3 linked regions of the Bombyx mori genome follow. The protein of the gene in region 1 binds, or shares a complex with, the protein of each later gene. Links are inferred from orthologs where the notes say so. Each region holds a gene or a part of one and is shown in the gene's direction. Other genes may lie near its edges.

Region 1 (3,423 bases):
GTATTCAAATTCAAAATAATTTTAATACAGATTTTCTATATTAAGTTAGTGGAATTGGCCCCCTTAATTATCAAATTGCCGCCTTGTGGGACTTGGGCCCCATGTTGGGAAAAACTGGACTAGAGCTATTAATTTTGTGTAGTGGACAGTAACTAAAAACCAAATATATTTATGTATGTGTAACACAACGAATCTTACGGTCATCTACTTCAATAAAATTGTATAAAATTTTAAGACGTTGTATTTAAACCGAAATGAAAGAGTGCTCTGAGGAATTGTTTGAGATGATCCCCTCATCTCCTTTCTATCATCGCACCTCCCGCCATCGGAGCAAAGTTCATCCATATTATCTGGAACCGCTGCGTTCATCGACAGTGCGTTTCCAGAGGTCTTTTTTGCCACGTACCATCCGGCTATGGAATGAACTCCCCTCCACGGTGTTTCCCGAGCGCTATGACATGTCCTTCTCCAAACGAGGCTTGTGGAGAGTATTAAGCGGTAGACAGCAGCTTGGCTCTGCCCCTGGCATTGCTGACGTCCATGGGCGACGGTAAAAAATCACCATCATGTGGGCTGTATGCTCGTCTGCCTACAAGGGCAATAAAAAAAAACTTGTCAGAGAAGCTTGAAGTCCGGTTTGTTTTAATTGCTAAATAATAATTTTTGAATATGATTTCAGTTCCTGCGATGTACGGGATGGCGAACCCTTACAGCTTCGGGTACCCGGCGTTCATGCCGCCAGGATATGCCTATGGACCGCAAAGTATGAGTATCACAACATTATTTCACACTAATCTTTGTAAACAAACAACTGCACTCAGTCAATTAGTTAAGAGATGTGTGTTCTGTTGGTGCAAGAGACTGATTTACTTTTTAATTAAATTTTTTATTGCTTAGATGGGTGGACGACGGCCCATACTATGTTAAGTGGTTACCGGAGCCCATAGACATCTACAACGTAAATGCCGCCACCCACATCGAGACATGAGTTGTAAGGTCTCACATTTTAATAGTACAACGGCTGCCTCACCCTTCAAACCGAAACGCATTACTGCTTCACGGCATAATTAGGCTGGGTGGTAGTACCTACCCGTGCGGACTCACAAGAAAAACAATAATACATTGACTATTGAAACAAAATGTTATACTGGAATGGACTGAAACTGCTCCGTAGACCAACTGAATGTTACTGTTTGGAACTTGAATCTTATATCCCTGAAGGTAACGATAACCTGGCCTCTGGCAAAGTTCAGGAGTATGGAAAAATTCCAAGGAGTCCAGTGAAGACTGTCGTGAGTCAGATTAAGGTATCCTTCAACCTTATGTGACAATTACTTGCTATACCTCGATACTTTTCTATTGTGTTATCTAACTTCTTTTTATAACAACTATTATTATGATTAAAAATAATCTGGGAACTGCACCACATAATTTATATAATAATACTCATGGTAAAATATTTTAAGAAAGATATTTAAAAAAAAAACTTCCCAAAGAAAGCGGACTTAGTTAATGAATTATTGAACAAATGTATTTTCCAGTCTTTATTTCATGCTTTTGTAGGTCTCCTGTGGTGACTAACTCAACAAAACCGCGAGTCCGGATGTATTGTGACCTTGGGATGTGAGGTGATCAGTAATTCTGATCACATACATAAAATAAGCTAATTATTATTTTTTGTAAACATAGCATTATTAGGAATCACAGTGCCTATTAACAAACAGACCGAATTTAATATATTTTTTGGAATTGATTCGCTTGTTATTAATGTGTGATAAATGTGCGTAGGTTCAATGTACTACCCCCGCGCGGCGTACCCTGCGGAGTGGGCGCGGCGCGCGGGCGGGGCGCGGGGGCGCGGGCGCGGCGTGCGGGGGCGCGGGGGGGCGCGGCCGCGGATGCCGTACTTCGACGGACCGGACGCCACCGCGCAGTACTACAGGTCTGTATCGAGCCGCCCGGGGGTTAATGCCATTTTTTTCATTCGTACCTAGCTGAGCTAAACTTCCTTTTGACTTTTCTCATGGTGGTTTTCTTGGGAAAAATAGTAACGGTATCTTCCCATTCCTTTCCGTCCCAAAACTTTTTAGAAGGGATTTAGCCCCCCTAGGCCAAATCATTGGAGAAAGTTATTGGAGTTGGTGTAAAAACTGGACCAAGGTGGTCACGACCCTCAGTAATAAGGAAGCCACAAAGAAGAAGAAGAAGCAGATAGCCTTGAGAGGCTATTTCAGCGTAACCTTAACTAGTAGGTGAGCTCGCGGGGCTCAAACCTGACGACGTTGCTAACACGAACCCTAGCAGGAGCCGTGCAGAATCTACTACCGGATCGGAAACGCGACTCACTGAGAAGATCCGGCGAGAAACTCAGTGGGCTGTCTATGGGTTAATTTACTCGTCGAGTTTTTTTTTAATTTTTTTTATTGCTTAGATGGGTGGACGAGCTCACAGCCCACCTGGTGTTAAGTGGTTACTGGAGCCCATAGACATCTACAGATCCATAGCCGCAAGCGACGTGTTCGACGAGGACGGTGACCGGTGCTTGAGGTACCTAAAAGCATCGTTAGTGGATCGGGAGGATCCGAAATGACGTGTTTTGGGCGACGTCAACTGTTAACCATTTGGTCCGCAGGATCAGCTATGTAGTTTCCGGAGAGGATTCTCGTGTCGTGCCGCTTTATCGAAGTGGCGCATTGATGCCGACTGTAGATACTTACTGATGGACTCTAGGTCCAGATTGCAAATGATCATCTCACTTTTCGTATCGAAATTCAGAGTGGATGCAGTGTGGGAAAATTGTAATAACTGAGGAAAGATGGATATGTGTATCTCTCTGTTCCACGCTTTAATGGAACTTCACATTGGACTACGTCATGTCTTTAGGAGCTGGTCGAGGGGGTTCCTCCACTGAATACTCGCACAATATTGTGCCTTATTTTGTAGCCACTACAGCACATATTCGTCAAAACAAATATTTTGTGTGTCAATTTGTTCGTGACGTAATGTTAGATTGTGTTGTAACACTGTCCAGTTACCGTTGACACTTCAGGGATGTTGTTTGCTATAGAATCACGTCGTACAACAGGTGGCGCGCGGGGGCTCTGAAAACTTAGTGACAGCTCGCCGAACGTGACCAGGTTCCACTAATCTATATATATAAAAAATAATTGCTGTTCGTTAGTCTCGCTAAAACTCGAAAACGGCTGGACCGATTTTATTTATCGATTGAGGAATTACGAAGTCTACCGGGTCAGCTAGTGAAGTATAATATGTCGGAGACGGTCATTAGTTTGGTAGCTGCAAACACAGCATGATTCCCGAGAGATGGCAGCACGATCGCGGTATCGTCGGAACTCGGCTAAAGGCTTCGTCAAACTGAACGCGTAATTAGCGTGCGTTAGCCTTAACGCCGCGACAGAGCGT
Region 2 (4,269 bases), on another chromosome or scaffold:
CTCGTAACTTGCGACAACAGCAACCGTCTCCATTCGGTGAAGATTACGGGTTGGCCGGCAACCCGCCGAGTACAAAGAGCAGCACGGCTGATCACGGCCCGATACTCTAACGAGCAATCTCGAAGCCACGCTGGCAAACCGGTACCTCCCTTTGGAGGGCGTTACTATGTAGTTGAAGTCGGGAACATAACAACTAGCGACAGGAAGATGCAAAAGTAGCACCGGCTCACTACTAACACAAGTAACACAGAGTACCACTGCACACGGTACGCCGGCAAACCATCGGTGCCATCGGGAGGCTCACTCTCTAAGTGGAGCACTCTTCATCAAATGAAGAGCATTGAGAGCACGGCCCTCCTACTCGACTTCGTGCTGGTTTTGGTCCGCATCGGTGCGATCATATCTCTGGGAATGATGACCAAAAGCTGCCATTATCCGCCTCTCACGGAGGCGCACGGTTGGAGACCAGCAACTCCCTTGGGTTTCATTACATCCTACGTATATTACTGTTGATTGGTCTTTAAAGTAGTTTATGGCGTACCTTGTATTGAGTGATATCAAAGCTAATAGAGATCAGAGTGAGAAAGCTATGAGATATACCTTGAGACATGAGGTAGAAATCTAAATTATGTTGTATAATGGTCATCTTACTCTTCAAACTGGAACGCATGACAGCTTGGCAGTGGATGAAATAACTACCTAATGTGAGCCCTCATAGGCACTATCTCAGTATTTAGGTCGCCAAGTAGTTCTACGTTCTGGTTTGTTAAATGAACGAATTGTTATATTCTACAATTAGCGGTAGGTGACCTCTCGTTGTAGATGTGTACTAGCTCTGGTAATCACTTTATTGAAGTTGGGCCTTGAGCTCGTTCAGACGTCTATGCAATAAATAAATGTAATTTTTCCTTTCATATAATGAATGTATCTAAGTAAATTTTTGTAATTTTACTGAGACTACAGTATATTTTAAAGCATCTTATTTAATTTAATTTCATCATAATTACAGTATAAAATAAATAAATTTCATCTCATTCTTCTCCAAATCATTATTCTCAAAGAGTAAAATTTATTTTAAGTATATTTTATCTAGAGATTTTTATTAACTCAACACTGGCAACAATGACATTGCAAGCAGTCATTCTTTAAAAAAGGGAAATAAGTTATCTATGGTAAAAAGATCAAACATAAATAATGAATATGGCAGATTCAGATTCTCAAGAAAATCGACAAGTCGAAGAAATTAAATTGAAATCTAAGAAGCCTAGAAATCTTCGTACGCGTATCAAAGATGAAGACTCTGATGATGAGGAGCACATTTTGCAAAGACTTCAAGAAACAAAAGAAATTCAGAAACTTCGAGAAAGACCTAATGGGGTGAGCATCATAGCCCTGGCAACCGGCGAGAAAGTAACGTTGGAAGATGAAATGACTTGTAAAGATCCTTTTAAAGTTAAAACTGGCGGGATGATTAACATGCAAGCCCTTAAGAACGGGAAACTGAAGCAGGTGGATGATGCGTATGATACCGGAATAGGCACACAATTTTCAGCGGAAACGAACAAACGCGACGAAGATGAGGAGATGATGAAGTACATCGAAGAACAACTTGCAAAAAGAAAAGGTTAGTTCTACTTGAAAATATTTAACGAGCTTCCAAACATAAAAATTTACATTTTGCTTAAACAGTGGACCCCCGGTAATCCTGCCGCTGTCTAATCTGGCACCCCTTGTAATCCGAAATGTCTATTATTATTGAATATTTTTTGACAGTCTTCGCTAATGTACTTAGATAATGCATGATTGAACAGGTTACAACTGGTATGCGCCATCACTATTGTACTAGACGCTTAGGTATTGTTTTGGTTTTGATAGGTTAGTTTGAATTCGACTACTGATAACAAATAGGCATGCGCCCATTTCAGGCTCCATCTTGACCATGAAAGCTTAAGTTTTTTAAAGTACTTAAATAAAATAAAAGATGCTTATGGCCAGCAAGGGGTGGCTAGAAAGTTTCAAAAGTCGTCATGGCATTCGTAAAGTATTTTTTGTAAGTTTTAAAGTATTACTGACGTTAATTTTATAATAAAACGTAAGGTTTCTCTTGTATTTTTTAATTTACTAAATTCAATATACATAATGAAGTATGATTTGCATTTCAGAATATAACATACAGAATCTTATTACTGGATCTGTAATTTATTGGATTATAAAGTACTCTTTTGTAAAAAAATCTGGACTAAAGGGGGTCTTAGGCAGTACTTGTATAATTCGACAAATGTAATAGGTAGTTTGACACTGCCTTACAAAACGTTTGTCGGATTACAGGGGGTCCACTGTAATTTAATGGTTTTTTATTTCAAGACTGAAATTTAAAATCAATCAATAAAATAGTATTTGCATTTTCCATATCACATCCTTGAGGTTCTGTCACATCATAATCAATTACTAATTTTATAGATCCATTACAAGATCATTAAATAAACAGTATCTACATGTTTTCCTAGAACTCATGTAAATTTGTTTTTTTTTTGTAGGTAGTGGTTGTGACCAGTGTCTAGATGGGATTATATGTATATTTTGATATTACTAATATTACTAACACCTAAGCATATATTACATTAAGCTGCATAAGCACTTATTTGCTAAACTATTCTCATGGTATTATGATAACAACACTCCCAAAAGTACCAATAACAACTATACCAAGTTTCATTGCATCTTGAATGGTTTATATAGGAAGAAGAAAAAAAAAAGAAGAAAAAAACAGACTTAATAAACTTGTTAATATTGCTGCTTAAATGAAAATCTAGTATCAATTATGTAAAATACCACTCACTAAGATTCTATATTTGGTCCGAATCTGTAAAAAATATTGTATTGTAAATACTGTAGTAAGTATATTATACACTCAATTGAATTGCACATACCCTACAGAGACACCCACATCCCAACTTAAACAACGTTTAGACATACATGCCTCTTAGAAATATCATGTATGCTTAAATGAAAATTATTGTTTTTACAGGTTGTATGATATTAAGATAGTATAAGTTAGTTGTTTTGTATCTTTGGGTGCAATATTTGGAGCAGGTTTTATGCATAAGTGTGAAGAGGGCTAACCTCTGTGATACTGTTTTTATTGACTGCAGATATTAATAATTTCTTTTGAAGTCGTCGTGGCCTAAAGGATAAGACGTCCGGTGCATTCGTGTGTAGCGATGCACCGGTGTTCGAATCCCGCAGGCGGGTACCAATTTTTCTAATGAAATACGTACTCAAGAAATGTTCACGATTGACTTCCACGGTGAAGGAATAACATCGTGTAATAAAAATCAAACCCGCAAAATTATAATTTGCGTAATCACTGGTGGTAGGACCTCTTGGGAGTCCGCACGGGTAGGTACCACCACCCCGCCTATTTCCGCCGTGAAGCAGTAATGCGTTTCGGTTCGAAGGGTGGGGTAGCCGTTGTAACTATACTGAGACCTTAGAACTTATATCTCATGGTGGGTGGCGCATTTACGTTGTAGATGTCTATGGGCTCCAGTAACCACTTAACACCAGGTGGGCTGTGAGCTCGTCCACCCATAAAAGCAATAAAAAAAAAAAAAAAAAAGCTTATTGATACTTTATATTTATATCACATCAAAATAATTAGTTGGAAGCATACCCATGAAAAAAAATGTGTGTTACATGCACATAACTTGGGTTACTCAGTAAATAAATGCACAAAGATATGTTGATTGGAAACTTGAAATGGTAAATAGATTGTATAGTTTGTTATTGGTGGTAGGACCTCTTGTGAGTCCGCGCAGGTAGGTACCACCACTCTGCCTATTTCTGCCGTGAAGCAGTAATGCGTTTCGGTTTGAAGGGTGAGGCAGCTGTTGTAACTATACTTGAGACCTTAGAACTTATATCTCAAGTTGGGTGGCGCATTTATGTTGTGGATGTCTATGGGCTCCAGTAACCACTTAACACCAGGTGGGCTGTGAGCATGTCCACCCATCGAAGCAATAAAAAATAAAAATTTAGGTCCCTACATAGCTGATAGTATTATTTATAATCGTTTAGATACTAATATAAAATTAACTTGTGCTTTGTAAATTCCAGAGGGATGTGACAAAGACAATAAAGACCACAACCATACAGAAACACTAAAGTATTTGTCTCCCGAGGAAGCAGCCTTACTTTCCTTGCCAGACCATTTGAGAGTCTCTTCAAATCAGAGGTCAGAAGAAATGCTTTCTAATCAGATGCTCAGTG
Region 3 (4,016 bases), on another chromosome or scaffold:
GTTTTGTTCGGTGAACTCTTTTTCATAGAATTTTTTTTTTTGGTACATTTTTTCGTTGTTAGGAAAGGCAAGGGGTTCTAAGCCCATACAGCCTTGTCTGCTCTATATATTCTCTGAAATAATTTTTCAAAAAAGCCGAAGTCAGGTCTTATATGATATATATTAATATATCCTGAAATAAAAATGTCATTAAGGCCAAAGCTAAGTCCTTTATAATTTCTTCCTGAAATAAAAATTTCATTAAGGCCGAAGTTTTCATAGATAATACACTTACTATAGACTTTAGATGTCTATTCGTCTATTGAATAGGCAACGGGACTATATCCCATACAATATATCATTTGGACCAAAGTTGATTAAATAAAAATTATAACTGGGAACAGATCACGCACGGTTGTTTGGTCCCAATTTAGAATTTCCTGTGTTATGGGTACCAGAAACTGATAAACATACTTAAATATGTTTAAATCTATACATAGCTAGATAATGAACAAACCTGTTCATTACACAATATTTTTGCGCGATGTGGGAAGCGAACCCACGACCCTTAGCACAACTGAGTCAATCAGAATTATTTCGATTAAATACTAATAGAAAACATTTCTGGCAGTAACTGGATGCGTAGAACCGAAGATCGGGTTCAGTGGCGAGCTTTGGGGGAGGCCTATGTCCAGCAGTGGACTGCCGCAGGCTGATGATGAAGAAAACATTTTTGAATTTCCGTAGAAAAGTAAAAGTGATATAACGTGATAATTTCTTAAATATTCTAATTCTATTCTATTCTAATAGTATTCTACATTTAATTTTGCTGACTTCCAAAAAAACAGTGATTTACAGGAAATATGGCTGCCTCAAAAAAAGGCGTCTCTAGCTCAGGTAGCACCCGTGTGCAATCATTACCATAGCGCACTCTAGTAAGCGTGCGCTCATGATAGCCACCTCATTATATTTCTCGTTATATGACCACCATTTTATCGAGATTATGTTTCATCCCATATCATCTCATCCCATTCATTCCATTTCGTTTTCATTTCATTTCATGCCATGTTTCATATTAATCAACTTCATGTCATTTCATGATATCATTTTCATATATAAAAAAAAATATAAAAGATTAGGATGTATGGTATGATACCTTTGCCTTTTCAGTTGGAAAAATAAAACTACTATTACTTACAGACATCTGTCAAAGGTCCACAAATCAAGCCAAAAGTGTTTTACTGGTGCATTCATTACCTTATTTTTTCACACAACCATTAATCTAGTAAATAATTGAAAACTGGTTAATAATGTTATAAATTTTAATTATAATGGCAAATCACTATGAAGTGCCCAATTGGTATGTATAAAAGCAACATAACCATAAAATAATGACGCCGGGTTACTTATTTTAATGAATTCCTGATGTGCATTCAAATAAAAATGTATTCATTAGTTTTGTCTTTGTAGAAAATAACCTATATAATTGATAACAATAATATGGCAGTTTAGCAGTGTATCAGTTACAAATGAATAGAACATTTTATCTTATAATTAATGTAGCACTACTGCATGTACTATCAATATATAGATACAGTTTTTAATTTTACTTTAAAAGTCATCTGCTACTCAAAGATTAGGAAGGTACTGAAATATGATACTAGAAAAGTGGATATTATCTAAATGATATTTTGAGTGGAATACAAAAATTAATATTGATAAAAACCAATAATTAATATTGATTATCTTTTTAGGGCTGGTAAGCCGCCAACCGGACTCCACTTAGACGTTCTAAAAGGAGATAAATTAATTCAGAAACTAATGATAGACGAGAAAAAATGTTATTTATTTGGACGGAATCCTCAAATGAATGACTTCTGCATTGATCATGCTAGCTGCTCTAGGGTGCACGCTGCTCTGGTCTACCACAAACATTTGAATAGATCATTTTTAGTCGACCTCGGTAGTAGTGAGTATGGTCGTAATAATTTTATGAATAAGAATTTGTATCACAAATATGGGTATCTATGCAAAAAAAAATGTTTCTTGAACTAATTGAATGAAGGCCCATAATTTTATGTCATGTTTGCTCACTTGGGCTGAAATTAGGTGTTAAATTGTAGGATATTAAGTTAAAAGTGAATTAAATTTACTCTGACAATATAAATGTTTTGGTGAGAAGCTTCAAGTTTTATAACCTTTGATTTCTCATTCACTAAGATTAATAAATAAAAAGAAAAAAAATGAATCAGAAAAGATGTAATCAATCATTTGACATTACTTCTTAAACTACTATGAGTTAAGTACCATGAGTGGTAGGAGGGCTTATTACAATCCCATACATGTCGGTGTCATATTTTTTTACAAGAATGCAGTCACGGCTTCTAGTTTTATGAGATTGAGTGTTCTTTTGTAGTAAAAATTTAAACATTTGCTCCATGCATAAAGGATACGTGCTATTAGTATTTTTATGTCTATGTACTAGGCTAATCACTTAAAACTAGATGGCCCTGAGTTTGTTCACCTGTCTACGTGTTTCACAACACTCCCTTATAATTTGTTGTAGAACTATAAATCATAACAAACTTTTTAGCTCATGGCACTTATATTGGAAAAATGCGCTTAGAATCAAACAAACCAACACAATTACCGATCGATTCTAATTTTCATTTTGGAGCTTCAACCAGGAATTATATTATAAGGCAAGTACAAAAAAAATATTACTTTTTAGAAACATAAATTAAAATTAACTAACTATTTATAAGCTTAAGCAGACATGTTGAGTAACATTTCAGTCATGTGTATATTTTGTAAACCTACATTTAATTTGACCTTTCTATACATAGGAGAATAATAATATGTATATTATATGTATGAGAACCCTCATCAATACTCTACAGTTAATCTTAATAGAGCTGTATAACTTGACCCACCCCTGAAAACTGAAATGCATGAAACTTTTGTAACAGGAACAGGCAGAAAGTGGTGTATTGTGTGGGCTCAAAATATGAGGAAATTAGAATTAGATGAGCAAACGAATAAGCCATTTTGAAACCGAACAGCTTATAGTCCATAAGCCGTTCCAATATGTCTGCAATGGATATATCGTCTGTATGCATTAAAAGTGTACAATTTACAAAAATATTCAAAATTGAGTTAATATGCGAAATCATTTGGTATCACCAGTATTTTTCTCATAAATACTGTTAAAACAGCGTAGTTTAGTTTTGGTTTCCTTTTTTTGTTGGTTTACTTAAATTGTCATTACTAAATATTAACAAAATTAATATGTACACAATTTTATCATACTTTAAAAGACAGATAACGTAACTGGTACAAAATAAAAAATAATGTTGCAAAGATGATTAATATTAAAAATATAACCTGTTAAACCTTTAAAACACTCTCCTATAAAATTAGTAAGTTTTGAGATAATACAGTTTTAATGCGAGAAGACGATATGATTTATTCTGTTCATGGATTCTGAATTATGAAGTGTCTTTTAATTAATGTATCAATGGTTCACAGAGAACGCCCGACTGGGACATCGCGTGGTATAATGGAGGATCTCCCTAATACAGAAACTGAAGGAGCATTGCTCGGCCTGCCTGAAACACAAACCGAACTAGATGTAAGATTTTGTTCTTAGTATAATTTATGTAGAAAAGGGATCGCAGCGCATAAAATAAAAGTTATACTATTCCAAAATCTTCTATTATAATAGTAATTAATAATTAACACTAATTTTATTATGTCTTACTCATTTTTCAAACGTCTTCGCCATCTTCAAATTCTCTGTCATTCTATCTGTCATTCTCTTCTCCCTTTCTTTCCGTTTTCTCTCACTCACATCTTAACGCTCCGTTCCACACTCTTTTCATACGTTCCGTTCTTACCAATCCTACATTTATGTGTATTATTGAGTTAGATTTCGATTTGACTTCAATACTCCTTTCTCGATTTCATGCTTTGGAGCCCTTGTCGGTATGGCAATAAGCTTAGAATACTGCTACTAAGGAAATGTTATAGATATAGTA

Evidence for each region. Proteins that work in one complex are often made in the same cells at the same time.
Region 2: A-kinase anchor protein 17A (region 1) and uncharacterized protein LOC778507 share a complex: the UniProt entries of both Homo sapiens proteins name them as parts of the spliceosome. The link is inferred for Bombyx mori from reciprocal best matches to the Homo sapiens genes AKAP17A and C9orf78.
Region 3: A-kinase anchor protein 17A (region 1) and nuclear inhibitor of protein phosphatase 1 share a complex: the UniProt entries of both Homo sapiens proteins name them as parts of the spliceosome. The link is inferred for Bombyx mori from reciprocal best matches to the Homo sapiens genes AKAP17A and PPP1R8.

Annotation. Positions count from the first base shown.
Region 1 is NC_085127.1:13,381,298-13,384,720, reverse strand, and holds part of A-kinase anchor protein 17A, read left to right. Parts: intron 1-679; coding exon 680-763; intron 764-1,788; coding exon 1,789-1,942; intron 1,943-3,423. UniProt on the Homo sapiens protein: Splice factor regulating alternative splice site selection for certain mRNA precursors. Mediates regulation of pre-mRNA splicing in a PKA-dependent manner.
Region 2 is NC_085120.1:2,479,725-2,483,993, reverse strand, and holds the start of uncharacterized protein LOC778507, read left to right. Parts: upstream 1-1,428; coding exon 1,429-1,624; intron 1,625-4,116; coding exon 4,117-4,269. UniProt on the Homo sapiens protein: Plays a role in pre-mRNA splicing by promoting usage of the upstream 3'-splice site at alternative NAGNAG splice sites; these are sites featuring alternative acceptor motifs separated by only a few nucleotides. May also modulate exon inclusion events.
Region 3 is NC_085126.1:4,081,514-4,085,529, forward strand, and holds the start of nuclear inhibitor of protein phosphatase 1, read left to right. Parts: upstream 1-1,175; 5' UTR 1,176-1,310; coding exon 1,311-1,339; intron 1,340-1,733; coding exon 1,734-1,948; intron 1,949-2,572; coding exon 2,573-2,681; intron 2,682-3,507; coding exon 3,508-3,610; intron 3,611-4,016. UniProt on the Homo sapiens protein: Inhibitor subunit of the major nuclear protein phosphatase-1 (PP-1). It has RNA-binding activity but does not cleave RNA and may target PP-1 to RNA-associated substrates. May also be involved in pre-mRNA splicing.